Linked DNA regions of Canis lupus familiaris. The main gene of each other region encodes a partner of the protein of the gene in region 5 in a complex. Links are inferred from orthologs where the notes say so. Each region holds a gene or a part of one and is shown on either strand. Other genes may lie near its edges. The genes, in order: INTS9, INTS4, INTS12, INTS2 and INTS6.

Evidence for each region.
Region 1: INTS6 (region 5) and INTS9 share a complex: the UniProt entries of both Homo sapiens proteins name them as parts of the integrator complex. The link is inferred for Canis lupus familiaris from reciprocal best matches to the Homo sapiens genes INTS6 and INTS9.
Region 2: INTS6 (region 5) and INTS4 share a complex: the UniProt entries of both Homo sapiens proteins name them as parts of the integrator complex. The link is inferred for Canis lupus familiaris from reciprocal best matches to the Homo sapiens genes INTS6 and INTS4.
Region 3: INTS6 (region 5) and INTS12 share a complex: the UniProt entries of both Homo sapiens proteins name them as parts of the integrator complex. The link is inferred for Canis lupus familiaris from reciprocal best matches to the Homo sapiens genes INTS6 and INTS12.
Region 4: the proteins of INTS6 (region 5) and INTS2 are in contact, whole or in part, in a cryo-EM structure (PDB 8RBZ), measured with the Homo sapiens proteins. The link is inferred for Canis lupus familiaris from reciprocal best matches to the Homo sapiens genes INTS6 and INTS2. Residues at the interface, in NP_036273.1 of Homo sapiens: Ile484, Val486, Arg487, Ser488, Arg489, Phe527, Gln528, Val529, Ala530, Leu531, Leu532, Asn533, Phe541, Arg542, Asn543, Ala544, Tyr545, Ile547, Arg549, Leu552, Leu553, Leu556, Met559, Arg560, Asn562, Leu563, Leu564, Lys565; in NP_065799.2 of Homo sapiens: Ile855, Asp856, Pro857, Leu858, His895, Arg923, Glu925, Leu926, Lys927, Ala929, Leu930, Ala932, Ala933, Gln934, Ser936, Ala937, Gln940, Ile941, Glu944, Asn1010, Lys1013, Leu1014, Phe1017, Gln1018, Gly1019, Tyr1020, Pro1021, Ile1046, Ala1047, Gln1048.

Annotation. Positions count from the first base shown.
Region 1 is NC_049246.1:28,940,308-28,943,821, reverse strand, and holds part of INTS9 (integrator complex subunit 9), read right to left. Parts: intron 3,156-3,514; coding exon 3,057-3,155; intron 1,903-3,056; coding exon 1,765-1,902; intron 206-1,764; coding exon 29-205; 3' UTR 1-28. UniProt on the Homo sapiens protein: Component of the integrator complex, a multiprotein complex that terminates RNA polymerase II (Pol II) transcription in the promoter-proximal region of genes.
Region 2 is NC_049242.1:20,974,616-20,978,129, forward strand, and holds part of INTS4 (integrator complex subunit 4), read left to right. Parts: intron 1-1,875; coding exon 1,876-2,061; intron 2,062-2,701; coding exon 2,702-2,752; intron 2,753-3,514. UniProt on the Homo sapiens protein: Component of the integrator complex, a multiprotein complex that terminates RNA polymerase II (Pol II) transcription in the promoter-proximal region of genes.
Region 3 is NC_049253.1:13,347,290-13,351,527, reverse strand, and holds the start of INTS12 (integrator complex subunit 12), read right to left. Parts: upstream 2,815-4,238; 5' UTR 2,681-2,814; exon of another isoform or gene 2,514-2,680; intron 1-2,513. UniProt on the Homo sapiens protein: Component of the integrator complex, a multiprotein complex that terminates RNA polymerase II (Pol II) transcription in the promoter-proximal region of genes.
Region 4 is NC_049230.1:34,713,395-34,717,639, reverse strand, and holds the start of INTS2 (integrator complex subunit 2), read right to left. Parts: upstream 2,808-4,245; 5' UTR 2,722-2,807; coding exon of another isoform or gene 2,718-2,721; coding exon 2,699-2,717; intron 2,682-2,698; exon of another isoform or gene 2,052-2,681; intron 1,352-2,051; coding exon 1,045-1,351; intron 190-1,044; coding exon 51-189; intron 1-50. UniProt on the Homo sapiens protein: Component of the integrator complex, a multiprotein complex that terminates RNA polymerase II (Pol II) transcription in the promoter-proximal region of genes.
Region 5 is NC_049243.1:591,661-595,174, forward strand, and holds part of INTS6 (integrator complex subunit 6), read left to right. Parts: intron 1-583; coding exon 584-694; intron 695-1,916; coding exon 1,917-2,132; intron 2,133-3,514. UniProt on the Homo sapiens protein: Component of the integrator complex, a multiprotein complex that terminates RNA polymerase II (Pol II) transcription in the promoter-proximal region of genes.

The DNA.
Region 1 (3,514 bases), on a different chromosome or scaffold from region 5:
TGAAGTAGAAATGGCTTAGCTGTTCCATTTAGAACTTCTGTAGGAATTTGAGAACGAGGTCCCGCAGTCGTACCCTGAGCACCTCATCATTGTCACAGATGATATGAGTTGAATCTTCCTCAATCTGGATGAGTGTCTCAGCTTCCTGGAGCAGGACAATATGGCCCTTCGCTGTGTCTTCTACCTTAATATCGCTGAAGCCATGCTGCTCCAAAAGAAAAGAGAAAGGAGGATGATGGATACTCTGAAGCAAGGGGTGGACTGAAAGGCAGGAGGACATGGGAGCAACTGACGGTTCTGAGAAATGACACTTCGTAGCCTTGGCTAAACTGAACATTCTAAAAACTGTCATTTTTTTATGCTCCCTAATATAATTCTTCAGACTTGTCATAGGACCTTCTACAGCAATGGAATTCAAACACAGCTTCATATACTTTAAAAGAAGCCTCCAAACATCCAAGATCTCATGCAAAACACAACAAAGTTTCTACAACCCGCTTAAGCTTTTGTGAGCTATCTTGAGGAGCACATCCAAGAGCTTGGTTCAGGAGTCTAGGACCCTGGGCTTTCTATCAGCAGCCTCCAAACTCTGCCAATGGTCCCTGATTAGAAAAAAGCTCCATCCTGTCCCAGGAAAATACCATTCCTCAAAGCAAGATACCAGTGACCTTGTGATTTGGCAAATCCTTCTTGAGGGAGGAGACAAGGCGGCAGGGCAAATACTTCTCCAGCTACCTTAATGTGAGTTACAGAATTTTCTTACACATCACACAAAGTTGAGAGAGAGGAAAAGAAATAGAAATAAGACTGACTTGCTTGAAAGGGCCACAAGATAGGTAATGGACATAGGCTAGGGAATCTCAACCCTTAGTCCTAGAAAGCTCGTGTGCAGGCTGGGGCAGGCACTGCTATTCCTCTTGCAGGAGGAGATGACGCAGAAATGGTGGAGAGAGTCAGGGTCAGATCCTAAGGGTCAACTGCTAGATGAGCCAAGCAGAAGAACTAAGTGCAGGGGATTCTGGGAAAGCAAGTTGTTTCGAGCTTTTAAAAAACAAGTCAAGCAGAGTCCTACCAATAGGGGCCAGAGCACTGCTCGGTCCCGAGGAAGCCGGCCCTGCCACGTCACAGCATCAGTGCTAACTCCCATACAGCGTTTCCACCCTCGGGCCAGGAGAGCCGCACAACTTGGCTGTGGTCTCTCCTTCAGGGAAGATTAAACAACTAATGGCTGGAGGCTGACACCAGAGGACCGCCTACTGCTTCCCCTTCTTGCCTCCTGTCTGCTTCTCCAACTCCCAGGGATCTAGTAGCACCTCTGTCCTCACTGCCCCCCAGTCCCGCGCCTCCCGTCTCCTGTGACACAGCCAGGCTGGCGCTCTGACAGCAAGGATCTTCTTGAAAAGTGAGGCTCCAAGGGGCAGACTTACTAAGTTTTCTTTATCTGGCCTTTCCCCCCTGCCCATCTGTCGCACCTAGGTTTCTGAAGGGCCTTCCTTGGTCTCGTTCCCATAAGAAATGGGGTGTGGTGAGGCAGTCTTCTAGGGGCCTGGGGTCTCACGGGAAGGAAGGGGCTGGCAGAGAAGAAATGGGGGACCTACAGGGAAGAGGGGGCATGGTCTTCTCTCAACTCTCTGGGACCCTCCCCTGGTTCTGTTCCTGCCATGACCCTGGATCAAGCAGAGGCTTCAGGGTCAGTAGCTCAGACAGTGGAGATGGAGAAAAAGGAGCAACATCCGGCTCCTGTGCAGTCTGGGCAGCACTCACCTTCTCCAGCGTCTGCACAAACTGTTCTACAGGGATGGAGCCGCTCAGCAGTGGCTTCAGCACTTTGCAGTCTGGGATGTCATCGCTTGCCCGCTTTCTCTTCTTACCACCTGTGGGCTGGGTGGGCCTGGGGGGAGGCTAGAGCCGGAGAAAACACAACCTCATCAAGCCCCTCACCCTGAGTACAGGGGAGGTCAGCGCAGGCCACAGCCAGAGCCCATCTGCCCATCCCTCCCTGGGCACTGCTGCCCTCCCTGAAGGAGGCCCCAGCACCCCGGTCCGGACTCATCCCTGCTGTGAGGTCAGCTGGCCCTGGAGTTCAGGGTTGCCAGGAGCTGGGGGCTCCACGAGGTGTTCTTTATAACAGAAGCTAATGCCAAAGCATCCACACAACATCAGTGCCTTTTCTGGCAAAGAAATCTTCCTTTTAGCAAGACTCATTTTTAATTTTTAAAGGATTCATTTTGGTATTTTCTGAGTAAATTCTTAATAATAAACTGTGCTGATAACTGTAGGTGTGACAGCAGCACGGTGGCCAAGGCCACCAGCTATGGGGTCAAGCTGATGGGTTAAAATGAAAGTCAGAGAAACTGCCTATAAAGTGATGGTGATTTTGTGAGAATTTTGTGAGGATGAAGTGGGAAGGTGAGAAGTAAGGATGACAAGGACCTAGGATGGCACCTCGCATATTTTACATGGCAGCACAGTCCCAAGTGTAGAAAGAGTTCTTCTCAGGGGTGAGGAGCAGGGCCCAAGGAGCTGCCCCACGAGGCGGTAAACACGGGGTGGAGGTGGGGCACGAGGTGCCGGGACAAGGCGCTGCAGTCTGTGGGCTGGGGTGGCTCACAGGTGCCCAGCTGCTGCCCGCCCCACAGGCATGTTGGGTAGGGGAGGCCTCCTGGGGCCTAAGGGCTGCCCACCACTCTGGGGGCTCCCGCCGCCTGGTGCTGTGCTCCGCACCGCGGGTCTGAGGAAGGTGCCCGTGGGAGCTGTGAGCACCACCAGTACTTTCGGAGGCGGGAAGGGCACTCAGGGTGAGGTGCGGCCCCAGCTCCATGAATAATAGCTGCTCTTCCCTTTTCTCTCTCTGAGGCATGTGGCCAGAGAACAAGTAGCGAAGAATTTATACGCAGTGTTCTCTCTGTTTCACATCTCATCCATTAAGGAGTCTGGTCTCTGGCTTGTGCTGGCGGGAGTCCTGGGACCACTGGTGGGGGTATCTGGGGGTTCCTGGGCTTCACAGGCCCCAGCGGCTCCTCAGGGACATGAGCCCGGCCCACCCTCCCCCGTACCTGAAGGACGTGCTTGTTATCTTTCGTGTGCAGCACAGCCGAGACGGTTGCCAAGGAAATGCCAGGCTTAATCTCCATGGGCACCAGCGCATCCGCGAGCTGGAAGCAAACGGGTTTCAGTGGGCCTCAACTAAATGTGGGGGGCGAGGTGCTGCAGCCTCGCCACCCCAAGTCGGGACCAGGAGGCCGCGCTGGGCCGCGGCTCGGCCTCCTCAGAGCTCACAGATGGCGATGGCTGGTGCCAGCCAAGGCCGGCTTTCCACACCCACTGGCTCGTTCCCGGCGGGAAGGGAGCTGAGCCTTCTGTGACCACCATTCTTCATTTTCTTTTCTTTTCAACTTTTGTTTCTATCACTGGAGTCTAAAATACCACATAATTTTAAGGACGAAAGAAGGCAAAAAAAAAAAAATCTAAAAATAACTTTAATCAAAAATACATCACACGGACGAAAGGAGGT
Region 2 (3,514 bases), on a different chromosome or scaffold from region 5:
AAAATCAAAATAGAATTAAAATACCAGAGTATATCATAAGGTATAAGGGTAAACAATGTTTTGTTAAACTTTCTGTGTATATATTTGTATGTGAATATTATGCTGCAATATAATGGATATTTCTTACAGTGGGTCTAGAAAGTTTAAAAATCAGAGTTCCATGCCATATTATCATGTACTGTACAACTTCATTTCTCAAAGTATTTTTAGTTCCTATTACTGTATTATGCAAATAGCTTATTTCAGTAGCATTGGACTAGGTATAGCAAAAGATAACTGATATTTTAGTTTAAAATACTGGTGAGAAGAGCTAACATGAAAAGATTGACAGTACTTAAGTGTTGACAAGGATATGGCACAACTAGAACACTGTGCATCACTGGTGGAAGTGTAGATTAGTTAAATTAGTACAACTGGTTTGGAAAACTGTTTGCTATTTGGAATGCCTTCTTAAGCTGAACATATATACAAATCCTGTGACTCAGTAATTCCACCCCTAAGTTTATATCCAACAGAAAGCACATTCAAGCTACCACAGTCATGGTGGCATTATTAAGAATAACCAAAAACTGGAAAAAAAACAACAACAACAAATATCTGGGCAGCCCCGGTGGAGCAGTGGTTTGGCGCCGCCTGCAGACTGGGGTGTGATCCTGGAGACCTGGGATCAAGTCCCACATTGGGCTCCCTGCATGGAGCCTACTTCTTTCTCTACCTGTGTCTCTGCCTCTCTCTCTGTGTGTGTCTATGAATAAATAAATAAAATCTTAAAAAACAAAAACAAAAACAAATATCTACCAACAGTGGATTGTGGTATATTCACAAATGGAATAGGATATAGTAATGGAAGTGAATGAACCATTGCTATATGGATGGATCTTACAAATAAAATATTAAGCAAGAGAGGCCAGATATTATTTGATTTTACCAAGTATAGAAACAGGCAAAATCTATGTGTTATAAGTCAAGATAGTGGCTATTTTTGATGGTGGTGGAATAGTTAGTGGGAAGGGGGACCAGGAGGGTTTGTTGGGGTGCTGGTCATATTCTATTTCTTTATCTGGGTGCTTGTTTTATGTTTGTATTCCTTTTGTGAAAATTCATTGAGCTGTACACTTAAGGTTTTTGCATTTTTCTATATGAATATTAAATGTTTTAAAAATTGAGGGCACCTGGGTGGTTCTGCCAATTAAGCATCTGCCTTAGCTCAGGCCTGGAGTCCTGCGATCCAGCCCCATATCAGGCTCCCTGCTCTGTGGAGATCTTCGTTCTCCTTCTCCCTCTACCTGCCCCTCACCCTGCTTGTGCTCTCTCTCATTCTCTCTGTCACGTAAATAAATAAAATCTTTTTTAAAAAGGTTTAAAACTTTATAAATTTTTTGTTTTTAGATTTGCTAGATTATAAAATTCAATTTAAGGGCCATTTTGGGATACCTGGGTGGCTCAGTGGTTGAGCGTCTGCCTTTGACTCAGAGCATGATCTCAGAGTCCCTGGATCGAGTCCCATATCAGGCTCTCCAGAGGGAGCCTACTTCTCCCTCTGCCTATGTCTCTGCCTCTCTCTCTGTGTCTCTCATGAATGGATGAATAAAAATCTTTTTAAAAAAGGGGAGGGTCATTTTTAAAGTACCTTCTCTTAATAAGGCAAAGGGCTAGCTGTTGGGAATGTGGTGATAAACAAGTGGGGATCTTATTTTTTTTAAGGATTCTTGTTTTGGAAGACACATGGTCAAGTAACATGATCCTAGAGAGACTATGGTAAGAATGTGGTGTTTGAAGTCATTCCTAAATTGATACAATGCTTTTGCTTCTGGTTTTTAATTTAATTTAAGCTATCTTAATCATGTCTTTTTGTTCTCTCCTTCCTTTTTATAGCACCTCACAGATACCTCTCATGGTGTAAGAAATAAGTGCCTGCAATTACTTGGCAATCTTGGCTCTTTGGAGAAAAGTGTCACAAAAGATGGAGAAGGCCTAGCTGTCAGAGATGTCCAGAAGATTATAGGGGATTACTTCAGTGACCAAGACCCACGTGTCAGAACAGCAGCTATAAAAGCCATGGTAAGCATGATAATGGAAACTAAATGGTGACAGGTTTTATTTGTTTCATTCATTATTTTAAGTCCATGGCCAGTGTTAGCTTGGATGCTTTCTAAACCACTCCCGGATATACCTTATGCATGTTTTGAGGAATGTGATTAATGGCATCACAGAACTCAAAGGCACACATTCTTTGTATAGCAGGTGTGCTTTTCTTTAGGCCTCTGTGGTTGCTTTTACCCATATTTCTGAAACATGGAGGGTACAACTTACACCTGTTTTATTTATTTATTTATTTATTATTATTATTATTATTATTTTACACCTGTTTTAATACCAAGTCACATCCCTCCTCCAAGTCCCTGGAAGGGGAGGTGCTTTTTAGGAGGAGGTGGTGTTAACCATTTCTTCTTCAGCCTTCTTATCATTATTGAATATTTTTCTAGTATCTCCTGGGATAGTTGGATTAGATTTATTAAATCTCCTAGTGTTTCTATTAAGAAATCTTTGACCAGATTTCTTATTTATATAGCACTAATTTTGGGTAATGGGAACTGGTAATTTGATATAATGAGGGAGAATATATGAGATTGAGGGGGGAGATACTGGAAATGTTGATCTTTTTTTCTCCAAATACTTAAACTATATTTTTATTATCTAGTTGCAGCTTCATGAAAGAGGACTGAAATTACACCAAGCAATTTATAATCAGGTACTTTAAATGAGTACGATCTGGAAGGGGAGGAGTGATAATGAAACTGGGAGAGTAGTGTACTAGTTGTCAGAATTTGAACACACAGAGCAGCAACTGGCAGCATTAATTGGGATGAATGTGAAGTTGTGTCCAATATGTACGTTTTAATAAGAGGGTAGAGGATATATAATTGAATAACACTAATATATGTAAAAAGAGCTTTTAAAAGGATTTAGGTAGCTCAGTATGAATACACAAAGAGGAATATAGTGTTCAGAATAAGGAAAGTGGTGGTCTCACTGCTCTCTGGTTGAGCCAAACATGAAGTCAGTTCTGGGCTCCATGCTTGACATACTAGAGTATTTCTGAAGGAGAATAACAAGACCATGGGATCATATGAAAAAATATTTATAATAGTTGGTAAAGAAAGGGACAAAGAAGTTGTAGTATCCCTAGGAGAAATTGATTGGCTGCCTAAAGAAAAGGCGTTACAAGGCGGTATTTCTCTTGTAGAATAATTGAATGCCTCTAGGGACAAGGAGTCTAAATCTATGTCAGAAACCTCTTTTTTTTTTTTTTTTTAAGATTTTATTTATTTATTCATGAGAGAGGCAGAGACACAGGCAGAGGGAGAAGCAGGCTCCATGCAGGGAACCCGACATGGGACTTGATCCCGGGTCTCCAGGATCACACCCTAGGCCAAAGGCAGTGCTAAACCTCTGAGCCACCCGGGCTGCCCAGAAACCAGATTTTCCACCAATAATGGTTTTATCTTTCAGA
Region 3 (4,238 bases), on a different chromosome or scaffold from region 5:
TCTACCTGGTTGCCCTAATGGTATCTCAAATTCAGTTATGGCTAAAATTGAGATTATGAATACTTTCTCCCAAAAGTTTGTCCTGTACTTTTTCAATGAATGACACAACTCTCTGCTAATCTAGTCTGAGGCCTAAATCCTTCCCTCACTAAATCCTCTCTTATTCTGTATAACCAAAAAATCAGTAGGCCTTCCCTATGGTACTTTGCAACATTCCTCACATTTGTTCCATTTTTCACTTCCACTGCTACTACTCCAATTCATGTCTTTTAAGTTTTGTGGTATAGCAGTAATGTAGCTATTCTCCTTGACTTCAGCACTACAGCTATACTCATGTTCCCAAAACACATTTCTTCTTTCTTTTTCATTTTCTTCCTCAAAAATTAAAACTTCCTGGGATGCCTAGGGGGCTCTGTGGTTGAGTGTCTGTCTTTGGCTCAGGGCGTGATCCCGCGATCTGAGATCAAGTCCCACACTGGGCTCCTTGCAAACCTGCTTCTCCCTCTGCCTAGGTCTCTCTTGTCTCTCAAGAATGAATAAAATCTTCAAAAAAATTAAAACTTCCTACTGTCTTCAAAATAAAGCCCAATTCTGAAAAGACTCTCACTGGCACAAAAACTTAATTCTTATACAGAAGAGCCATTCGCTTGTCTTGACACCTCTGCTTATTTTTTCTCTGTCCGGGAAGCTTTTTACCCATTTTTTAGATGTCTAAATTTTATGTTCAAATATTATTTCTCATGTGGATTCTTCACTGCTGGTGTGTCCTTATCCATCCCAAACACTACTAAAAATCTCTCCCTCCCAGGATACATCATACTGCTTTCTGGTGGTACTAGGACTTTCTACCTTGAGCCATACTTTTGTTGTTGTTTTGCACAAGAGTTATATTCCCTATAAAACTATTGAGTACTTTAAGGGAGGAGATTCTACATTTCTTTTTTACTATCACATGGCTACCTTGCAAAGTACCATAAAATAACAGCTATTAGAATTATTAGGGATCAAAGTAAAGTGTAATGGTCTTTTCCCTCCTACACAATTCTAACCAATTTACAAAGTCCCTTTGCAAAGAGCAGTAAGAAACGCAAACCCATCTTCCCTGTACCTCCTGCGCCTCCACCAAACCTCTCAAACATCAAAAAAGCAACAGTAAAAGAAACATAAACAAAAGTCACCTCTTTGATGACTAGAGACTTGTACAATGTTCCTCTCTGCAGTACTCACTCTCTTCCCAATCCTTTACCTGGCTTTACCTTCATTAATTACACTGGACTGTAACTTCATGAGGGCAAGAAACTTATTTTATTCAGTTATGTATCTAGGGTTCGAAACTTAGCCTCTCAAAAATATTTACTGAGTGAATGAACTAGGTTTTATTTAAAAATCACTTTCTGGGGCTTCTGTGATCTTTCCCACCGAAACTGGATATTCACAATGCTTTCCCCAAATCCCCAATTTCTCATTCTACATGCTAATCTTTTTTTTTAAAAAAACAGTCCGGAGTTGGGACACCTGCGTGGCTCAGGGGTTGAGCATCTGCCTTTGGCTCAGGTTGTGACCCCGGGGGTCCTGGGATGGAGTCCCCGCATGGGGCTCCGCGCAGGGAGCCTGCTTCTCCCTCTGCCGGTGTCTCTGCCTCTCTCTGTGTGAATATATAAATAAAATCTAAAAAAAAAAAAAAAAAGTCCAGAGTTGATCATCTGCACGTGCAAGGACACAAGATAAAGGAAACCACCTATTCACACCGAGTGCAATATTAGGGTTGCCATCTCCTACCAGCTCTAGCAAGCTTTGCCCTTTCATGTCTTTGGAAGCTCTTGCAAAAACAGCCTTTTTTAAAAAAAAGATTAAAAAAAAAATCTTTTAAAGCTGCTGCCCGTTTCAGTCCTCTACTGAATTCTCGGCCCTGGGTTACACTGATATCTTAGGGACATGTCTGGAAACGCAGGGGAAACGGAAGGACCACGACTCCAAACCAACCGAGTGACAAGAGAAGCTGAAAAAAAGGGGCCGAATGGGATCCCTGGTGGCGCAGCGGTTTGGCGCCTGCCTTTGGCCCAGGGCGTGATCCTGGAGACCCGGGATCGAATCCCACATCGGGCTCCCGGTGCATGGAGCCTGCTTCTCCCTCTGCCTGTGTCTCTGCCTCTCTCTCTCTCTCTCTGTAACTATCATAAATAAATAAAAATTTAAAAAAAAAAAAAAAAAAAAAAAAGGGGCCGAAGACGCTCAGAAAAGGGATGTCAGTCCTTTGATCAAAGCAGGACACCGCAGGCCTAGCACGGGAGAAGGTCTTCGAGGAGCAAGTCCGAGAGGACAGGCGAGGCGGAAGGAGGGAGCTGCCCAGAGAAGTCGCCAAAACCCTGCGGGGAAGGTCGGGCACCGGGCTGCAGGGACCAGTCCCCGGGGCCGGGCCGGGCCGAGCCGAGCCGGAGAGCCCCAGCCCACAGCACTGCAGGAGGAGGCTCGGCACCACCCCCCGCCCCCGCCCCCGCCCCCGCCCCGCCGCAGGGAGAGGGCAGTCAGCCCGGGCGCGCGGCCGCCCGCCAGTGACGACGCTGCCCCCTCAGCAGCCAGGGAACTAAGACCCCACGAAGCTCCTCTCCCGCCTCGCCCCTCGCGGAGGTCTCGAGCCTCCCAGAGGCGGCTGGGAGCCGGGGAGCTCGTCACAACTCACCGCTCCGCCCCGCTGCTCCGTCCGTTCCCGGGGGCCCCTTCCGAACCGCTCCCGGAACTCGCCGGCTCCGACTACGGGGAAACAAAGGTTCCTGCCGCGCCGTGAAGGGGGGAAGTTTTCGGCTGTGCCACGGCGGGAAGTGACGTAACCCCGGCTTCCGGTCCGCCGGATTATGAATGACGGCGGACGCGGCTGTTTCCAAGACGGCGTGCCTGCCGCGTGCCCCTTCCCGGCCTCTCTGGCCGCCCGCGGTCCGTGGGCGAAGACTCGCAGAAGCTGCCTCGGAAAACTCACGCGGGGTGGGAAGGCGCAGGCGGCTCGTGTCGCTGACACACTCACGCACCCTCCCTGCCTGGCCGCGCCTCTGCGACCAGGTAAGGAGGGAGCTCAGGCTGCGGACTCCGCGGTCCCCCTGACCCCCCCCCCCCCCCCCCCGCGACTGCTCTTTGCATCCGGAGGCGACCCGGCTGATGCTGCGAGACGGGGATGGGGAGGAGGCGGGGGGGCGGGAGAGGCAAGGGCTTGCAGTGAGTGTCCCGAGCTTTCTCCAGCGCTGGGCCCCTCCTGGGCGGTCACAGCCTCTGAGGGAGCTGGTGGAGGGCCCCGGGCCCCTTCCCAGGTTTCCCAGGGCCAGTCCCCGTGGCTCCCTCTGCTGATGGGGACTAGAGCAGCTTCTCTTTGCAGGAGTCCGTGGAGTCGTTTGCCGTTTGCTGCTAAGTGTCGCTTTAAGACCTTTTTGGCACGCTTTAACTTTTTTTTTTTTTTTTTCCTTCCCCCTCTCTCTTTGACACTTAGCATTTTATTCCGTGCCTTCCCGGTTAGAGAAAGCAGTTGTACGTGAGGACTGCTGAACAGTTGCTCCAGAGGACTTGCGTCGTTTGCGGCTGTTTTTCTTTTACACTGTCAAAGCAGCGTTTCAGTTCGGTCTTAAACAAGTTCGAGTTTGAGTAGAAAGTTTGACTTGCATGAAAGATTGCTTCGGTTTCGGAAACGTTCACGAACACCCGTATTTCCCGCCTCAACTCCACCTCGTTTGGAATGAGGTGACTTGTTTTTTAATCCCTTTATTCTTGAGCCCGGGATCCCATTTCTTGTCCTAAATTCTTGAATGTTACCGTTTGATAATCTATCTTGTGCTAAGTTATTGATTTTTAATAGCGTAGTTCTTTTTCCAAGCCTCCCTATAGAAAAAGTATTAGAGAAAAATGAAAAAGCTGGCAAGAATGTGGCGATTTGTAAACATGGTCATTGAATACTGTGAAAATAAATTCTCTTACAAATACAACTGAATGATTTGCTGTCATATTTAATAAATCAAACTTTAAGCCATGTTGAGTTTTTTTTTTTTTTTTAATTTAACTGCCTGGTGGGGAGTATACGCTACTAAGAGGATTGCCTTAAGGCATACTCACAACGTGAAATCATGTTTGAGTTCTACCTGAAGACCTTATTTTAAGAGGTCTAACTTTAAAAACAAATCTGTGATGAGATCGGTGAGATTTGAGAATTGTTTTATCAGATTATCTATTTTATTATTATTATTATTTTACACTTCTAC
Region 4 (4,245 bases), on a different chromosome or scaffold from region 5:
TGTAGACAACAAATCATGCATATTTTGAGATGTGATTAAAATAAATGCACCTTGTTCATTATTGCCAACAGTTCACTAAGCACAAGACGCAATCGACGAGGTGAATCACTGTGTTCAAACTCCAATGTCAATCCATGCTGAAGCTGGGATACCAGGATGCTCTCTCCACTGCCTCCTCCAAGTTTATGCCTAATAAAGCAGAAATGTGTAAAAACCACAATGGTAAGAACACTGACATAAAAATAACATAAAATTATCTTTTGTTGAAATAATCTACAAACGAATGTATGAATTCTTTTCATACATTTCATGAGTGTATTATTTTTGAAACACTATTTAGTTTGCCTATTTCAGGGATTCACAACCTATATATAAAGACTCAACTAACAGTTAACACCCACTTCAATGAACAAGAATGGCTCACTACTAGAGTCGCAATGGGCAGGGAAGAACTGAACAACTGTCCAGAATTTTGTGAAATCAATGTAAGCTAAAAAGGCTTTGGGGTGCCTGGGTGGCTCAGTACGTCAAGCATCTGCCTTTGGCTCAGGTCAAGATCCTGGTGTCCTGGGATAAAGTCCTGCATCTGGCTCCCTGCTCAGTGGGGAGTCTGCTTCTCCCTCTCCCTCTTGTCCTCTTGCTTCCCTGCTTGTCCTCTCTGTCAAATAAATAGATAAAAATCTTAAAAAAAAAAAAAAAAAGCCTTCTGAGTGATTCCAATAATTATTCTATTCTAGGGGAACTTACCCTACCCACTTCCCACTGAGAGTAATCGACCTAATCAGTTTAGTATGAATACGACAGTGTATCTGGCCAAACTCCTCTACACATTTTAGAATATGGAATTCAAAAGATCCTGGAATTTTAACTATAAATAGAAAAGAACTACGTAATATGCTCTCCAAAGTTTAGATTCTCAATCTTTTCTGGGAGAGTGCATCCAATAAAAAAAAAAAAATCGTAAAAGTTCCCAAGATATATTTGATTCTCTCTTCTTTGGCATATCTAAGTAAATCCCAGTCCACATATTATATAACACATTACCTAAGCTGCTGTTCTTTGCTGGCATCCTGTTCTAAAGCATGAAAGTCCACAGACAACAATGCAACAATGGAGTTGACAGCTTCCACTCCAGAGAGAAGACGAAGGATCAGTTTTTTATCCTGAGCCCAGCTTTGGCTCTGGTCAGCAGGAGCACAAAGCGCCATCCGCACCAAGCAAGGCAGGAGAAGTCTTAATTCTGGATCACTTAGAGATGCCAACCGAACAACATCCACCTTCTGCATTGCCTCAAAAGCAAAAGGGCTGACAAACTGAAGATTTGTACACTCAGCCATTATCACTGTTGATCCTATTAAAAAAAAAAAAAAGAAAGAAAGAAAGTAGGTTTAACTCCTATATGTATGAATGCTCCTCTTTTTAAATACCCTGAGAAAAGTGGTGTATCTTTAATAGGCCCCTATGCTGGCTATGTTTCTGGCACAAAGGTTCCCTGTTTTTACTCCCATCTAAAAAATGATAAAGAAAAATACATATATTAATAATTAATTAATTTTTAAAAATGATAAAGAAAAGAGAATACAGTAATATCTCCTCCAGCCCTAGAGATCTTCTGTTCTAGTACTTATTTTGCAAAGGAGAAATATAAAGCCCAGAGAGATTAAGTAACAGGCATACAGTGATAACTAACTAGTGGCAAAATCCAAGGCTGAACCCTCATCTGCTAAATCTCAGTCCAAGACTTTCTCCACAGCCTCAATCAACTGAGCACTACAATGCAAATAAAAGTGCGGAGTACTGTTAAGAATGCCCCTCTTCTGTACGTCTTTAGTTTCTTCTGCCTACCCAACAAATGCAAAAAAAAAAAACAAAAAACAAAAAAAAAAAAAAAACTGTCAGGCTTCTCTTTCTCACCCTCCACAAGTCAATGGAAGCTAAATCTCCTCACTTGCCACATGCAATGCCAGATTCAACATTCTGGAGGCCGTAACATTATCTTAATGTCCCTGTGCTCCTTTGGGAAAAAAAAACAAACAGCTGTGGAGGTGCAATTAGCTATGGGAGAAAGACGAGTTCCACTTGGGCACTTCTCTGTCTTCGCTAATCATCAGAAGGGAGGGGGAAAAAAAAAGGCAGAGAGCGGGTGGCCAAAGTCATCCCCTCTAAAAAACCACAAACTCGCCAAAATCGTGGGTTAACAGAGCCGTGGGCAGAAACGTTACTTTGTTTTGAAGCAAGCGGAGCTGGCCTTTTAACGGAGGGGCGGGCTGAGCAAGCAGAGGCGCCAAGCCCCGTGTGTGCTCACAGGGCTCGCCCGCAGCGTGAGGAGAACCAACCAGTCCCTCTGGCGGAGAGAGGCAAGGCCAGTGACCGACGTGGAACCCGGAACGCGCTCAGGCCTGAGAGGCGGAAGCTTCATACCTTAAGATTCACCCTCCAACCTCCCGGGACCAAACCAGGATTCCGCGCCCTAGAGGTGGGACGCCGTAGAAATCCAGAGCGCGATCCCGGGTTGGGCCTAGGCGAAAACCCCGATTCGCCACCCCGAGCTGTGCCCTGAGTCGACCCAGACACCGGCAAACCCAGACGCCGGGACCAACGGGGTCGGCAGCGCGCTAGGCTGCATGGGGACACAGCACAAGCACAAAGGCAGAACCCGCTCTGAAGGGAGGGGGACGCGGAGGGGGGCTGTTTCAACCTGCACCCAGCACCTTCATTCATCCCCAGCGTAGGGCTCCCGTCGGCCACCGTACTGGACTGAGGGGACCGCTGGCTGCGAAAGGAAACCCAGAGGCGTCGGCGTCGCGGCGACGGTGCGCGTGCGCGTGCGCGTGCGCGGCCCCACCCCTTCCTCCCCGCCGTTGCCCCGCGTAACTACATCCCCTCCCTCGTTGACAACGGAGCTTCCAGGGTCTTCGGCGAAGCGCGCCCGCCGTCTGTGTCCCTTTTCGATTGAGCGCTTAAGCTCCTCCAAGCTGAAGTTTCGCTACCCCGGGATTTTTGTAGCACTTGAATAAGCCAAGTAGGTAAAAGAAATGTTAAAATGGCTTACACTGTTCTTTGACCGGAACATTAATGGAATCAGGCTGTGCTCCTCTTTCCATCTCTGCCTGTGCCCTCCGAGCACCGAAGTTCCAGAATCCCAGCATGTATAGGCGAATGCAAATTCAGTCTCTTCCTGAGCTTGCTTAGGCTCTTGACCTCACACCTTCAGGGTGGCAAGTTAAACACCTTAATTTCAGGGATCTGTACTTTACGGTCAAAGGTTGGGGGAATGGGAAAAATGGGGGAGGGGGAGGTACAGACTTCTAGTTACGGAATGAATAACTCCCATACAACATAGAAATTATAGTCAGCGGTATTATAATAGAGGGTAGCTGCACTTGTGGAGAGCAGCATACAGCATAACATACAGAATTGCCCGATCCCTATATGGGGACACCAGAAACTAATGTAACATTGTGCGTCATCTGTAGTTCAATTTAAAAACAAAAACCAAACACTTAGGGCCCATAGATCCTTAGAAAGTGATGGGTGGAGTTTTTGGAATTCTCTGGAACCTGCAAAAGTGTGAGTGCTTGGCACTTCTGGAAAAAGGGTCCAAACTTGGAACAACCTCTCAAATGGAGTGTTAAGCATCCAGAAAAGATTAACTAATCTGTCTATATTTTCATTTTATTTCTAGTTCCTGGTTCAATCTGTGTGCATTTAGCACCTTCTGTTTACCAGATACCGTGCTACAAGCTGGAAACAAATATCTTACAGAGCTAGAACTTCATACCATATAGTTTCCAAGGCTTTCACAGAGTGATAATCTTCTAATAAAGTGTGCTTTCAGCATTAAAAATCAGCAAAGGAGGGATCCCTGGGTGGCGGAGCGGTTTAGCGCCTACCTTTGGCCCAGGGCGCGATCCTGGAGACCCAGAATCGAATCCCACGTCGGGCTCCCAGTGCATGGAGCCTGCTTCTCCCTCTGCCTGTGTCTCTGCCTCTCTCTCTCTGTGACTATCATAAATAAATAAAAATTTTAAAAAAAATCAGCAAAGGAAGAAAACTAACATGTGTTGCAATGTTTCTCAAACTTTTTTCCACCTACAATAATACATTTCACATTGTGATCTAGGACATATATGCATGTATACCCACTTTTTTTTTTCAAGATTTTTTTTGGGGGGGCAGCCCCTGGGGCGCAGCGGTTTAGCGCCGCCTGCAGCCTGGGGTGTGATCCTGGAGACCCGGGATCGA
Region 5 (3,514 bases):
TCAGGTAATAATAACAATAGTAATAACTAACACTTACTGAATGCCTACTGTATACCAGACGATTTTATCTGTGCTTTACATATATTGATTCGTTTAATCCTGTGATGACCCTATGAAGTAGATATTATTGTCGTTTTACAAATGAGAAGCTTTAGACACAGAGAAGGTATAAAACCTGGTCTGGGGTCACAAAGCTAGTGAGTAGATGAGCCATAATCTACCCAATTACCCAAGGTAGAAATCTTCCATTTTTCTTGCCTCCTAAAAATTTACTTCCTAATTTCTGTTGAATCTATCTCTGTGGTATGTCTCTGCCCATTTCTTCCAAACTTAGTATCACCAATAATACCAAGGTATCTAGAACTTTACCCTTTCTTTTCCCAGGTGTTGTTAAAGTATAGCCTCTAATCCTTTTAAGCTACCTTTCATACCACTGGCAAACATTTTACTGAAATACAAATATGGTTACTCTCTTATTGAAAAAAAGAATTTTTTTTTTAAGAAATCTTCAAAACTGATAATACAGGTAGCCATACATTTTTGGCAAGCTTAGGATTGAGTGATGTTTTCTTTTTTCCTATAGCCTTTGAAGAAAGCTGTTAGAATGATGGGAGCACCTAACCTAATAGCAGACAGTATGGAATATGGACTTAGTTACAGTGTCATTTCATACCTCAAAAAATTGAGTCAACAGGTAACGTTAAGAAATAGAGCTGTTAAGTATTTTGAATGGTTTTGGCTAAGATGCTTAATAGGCCAGATGTTAGTTCTGTGATGGTATGTCATATTAATATATTATGTTTTAAAACCACATATATCATAGATTATTAACATAATTCAGTGTCAAGTACATAGTATGCTGTGTTTTGGAATGTTAATTTCAATTAATAATAGTTTGTAGAGATGGCTTCATTGTTGTGGTCCTAGACTTTTTATCTGTGGAACATTCTTTGTTTTGAGAAATTTATGTTAGAAAGCTGTTTTTCTTAGACAAAGATGAGTTTCTTTTGCTTAATGTTTTAAAATCTGTAGTTTTTTTTAATTCAAAAATGGGAATTACTTTTGAAATATTTGTAAAAAACTGAATATTGACATTTTGAGCATAAATCACATTAGTAGATGCTCTGCTGGTCAAGCAGTATACACTTAGATTGCCAAGATATTAATACTATATAAAATACGTTGTTTTTCTAGTACTTCTGCCGTCTGTAGTTAAAATGCTCATTGAGATGTACGTTGGAAGGCATCAAAATATCGTTGTTTTCCAATGAAAAACTACATCATTTTTTATACCTATGAACATTTAATTATGTGCTAATAATAGTATTTAAATAAATACCGATGAGATTTTTTTCCCCTAATTTTATATCACCTCTGAATTGGAAATCCATATTTTCATTTAGGGTGCACTTACATTTCATGGTTTAAGTGTAGTGGATATTAGTATATAAAAATAAATTGAAGTTGTTTTTGTTTGCCCTGCTCCAAAAGGTTATAATTGAATTGATTTAAAACTGTAAGACAGGCAGCCCTGGTGGCTCGGCGGTTTAGTGCCACCTTCAGCCCAGGGCCTGATCCTGGAGATTTGGGATCGAGTCCCACATCGGGCTCCCTGCAGCAAGCCTGCTTCTCTCCCTCTGCCTATGTCTCTGCCCCTCTGTCTCTCTCTCTCTCTCTCTCCCCGTGTTTCTCATGAATAAATAAAATCTTAAAAAAAAAAAACAAAGCTAAGACATTATTATTTAAACTATATTTAATTTACTGAGAACTTGACATAAACTATGCTACCTGGGTTTTTAATTAAGTACATACTTTTTATAACATAAATATTTAATATATGGAAGACCAAGACTGTTAGTATTTAATTTGTTGATTTAGATTATGTCCAGACTAAATCTTACTTATTTTTACTTTAGGCTAAAATAGAATCTGACCGAGTCATCGGATCTGTAGGCAAAAAAGTAGTACAGGAAACTGGAATTAAAGTTCGAAGCCGATCACATGGTTTATCAATGGCTTATAGGAAAGATTTTCAACAGTTGCTCCAGGGAATTTCAGAGGATGTTCCTCACAGACTGCTAGACCTTAATATGAAAGAATACACTGGGTTCCAAGTTGCTTTGCTTAATAAGGTAAATGTTATATGAATTTAGTACTGCTCCAGCTATATTCTGTTGAATTGTTAAATAATCAAATTTCCTATTAACTAATAATTTTAGTTTGTCCAAGCTTTAGAAGTACTTCTATACCTCCGAAGAATAATGATCATTAATACTATTACTGAATCATTGAATTTTAGAATCAAAACAAACATTATGTATGCTGAGTGGCTGAATAGATGGACTGATGAATAAACCAATCTATTCATTTTTATAGATGAGAAAACATATGGGGCACCTGGCTGACTGAGTAGAGCATGTGACTCAGGATCCTGGGGTTGTGAATTTGAGCCCCATTTTGAGTGTAGAGATTACTAAGAAAGAAAGACAATAGAGGCTTACAGGTTGCCTAACTAGTCATAGAGTTCACTGCATTTTGGTACTTATACTGATGACCTTGGGTACATCATAAAATGCTTTATGAATATTCATTATTTAAAAGATCCTTATCCCAGTAGCCTTTTATGTAGAAACAGACAAGCTGATCTAAAATTTATATGGAAATTCAAAGGTCCTAGAAAAAGAGTTTTGTAAAATAATAGTTACAAGACTTGTACTATCTAATTTTGAAAGTTACTGTAAAGTTGTAGTGATCATCAACAGTGTTAAGTTGTTGGCATATGGATAAACATATAGATCAGTAGAACAGAAGAGAGTCTGGAAGTAAGCCTTCACACGTATAGTCAGTTAACTTTTAACAAGTTTTAATAAGAGGTGCCAAAATAATTCAGTGGGTCAGAAGACAATCTCTTTAGAAATAGTGCTGGAACAATTGGATACCCATATTCAAAATAGTAAATTTGATCGTTACCTCATATTGAAGTGCTCATGAATCTTAAATGTAAAAACTAAAACTATAAACTTCTAGAAGAAAACAGAGAAAGTCTTTATGATGATGGGTCAGGAGTCATCGAAGGTTTCTCAGATATAACACAAAAAGCACACACACACAAAACTTGATAAATTGAGCTTCATTAAAATTTAAATTTTTGTCTACAAAAGAAATTCTGTAAAATGAACAGGCAAGCTACAGCCTGGGAGAAAATTATATATAGAAAAAAGAATTAGTATCAAAATATATAAAGAAGTCTGTCAACTCCGTGATTATAAGACAAACACAATAAAAAATTGGTAAAATATTTGAACAGATACTTCACCAAATAAGGTACACAAATTTGAACACACACATAAAAAGATCCTGTATCTTAATGACCATTAAGGAAATGCAAATTAAAACTAGTGAGATCCCACTTCCCATCCACTAGAATGGCTATACTTACTATATAACCAGCAGTTTTACTCCAAGGTGTATCTGTCTACATGAGAAAAACGAAGACAATAGCCATAGAAAGGCT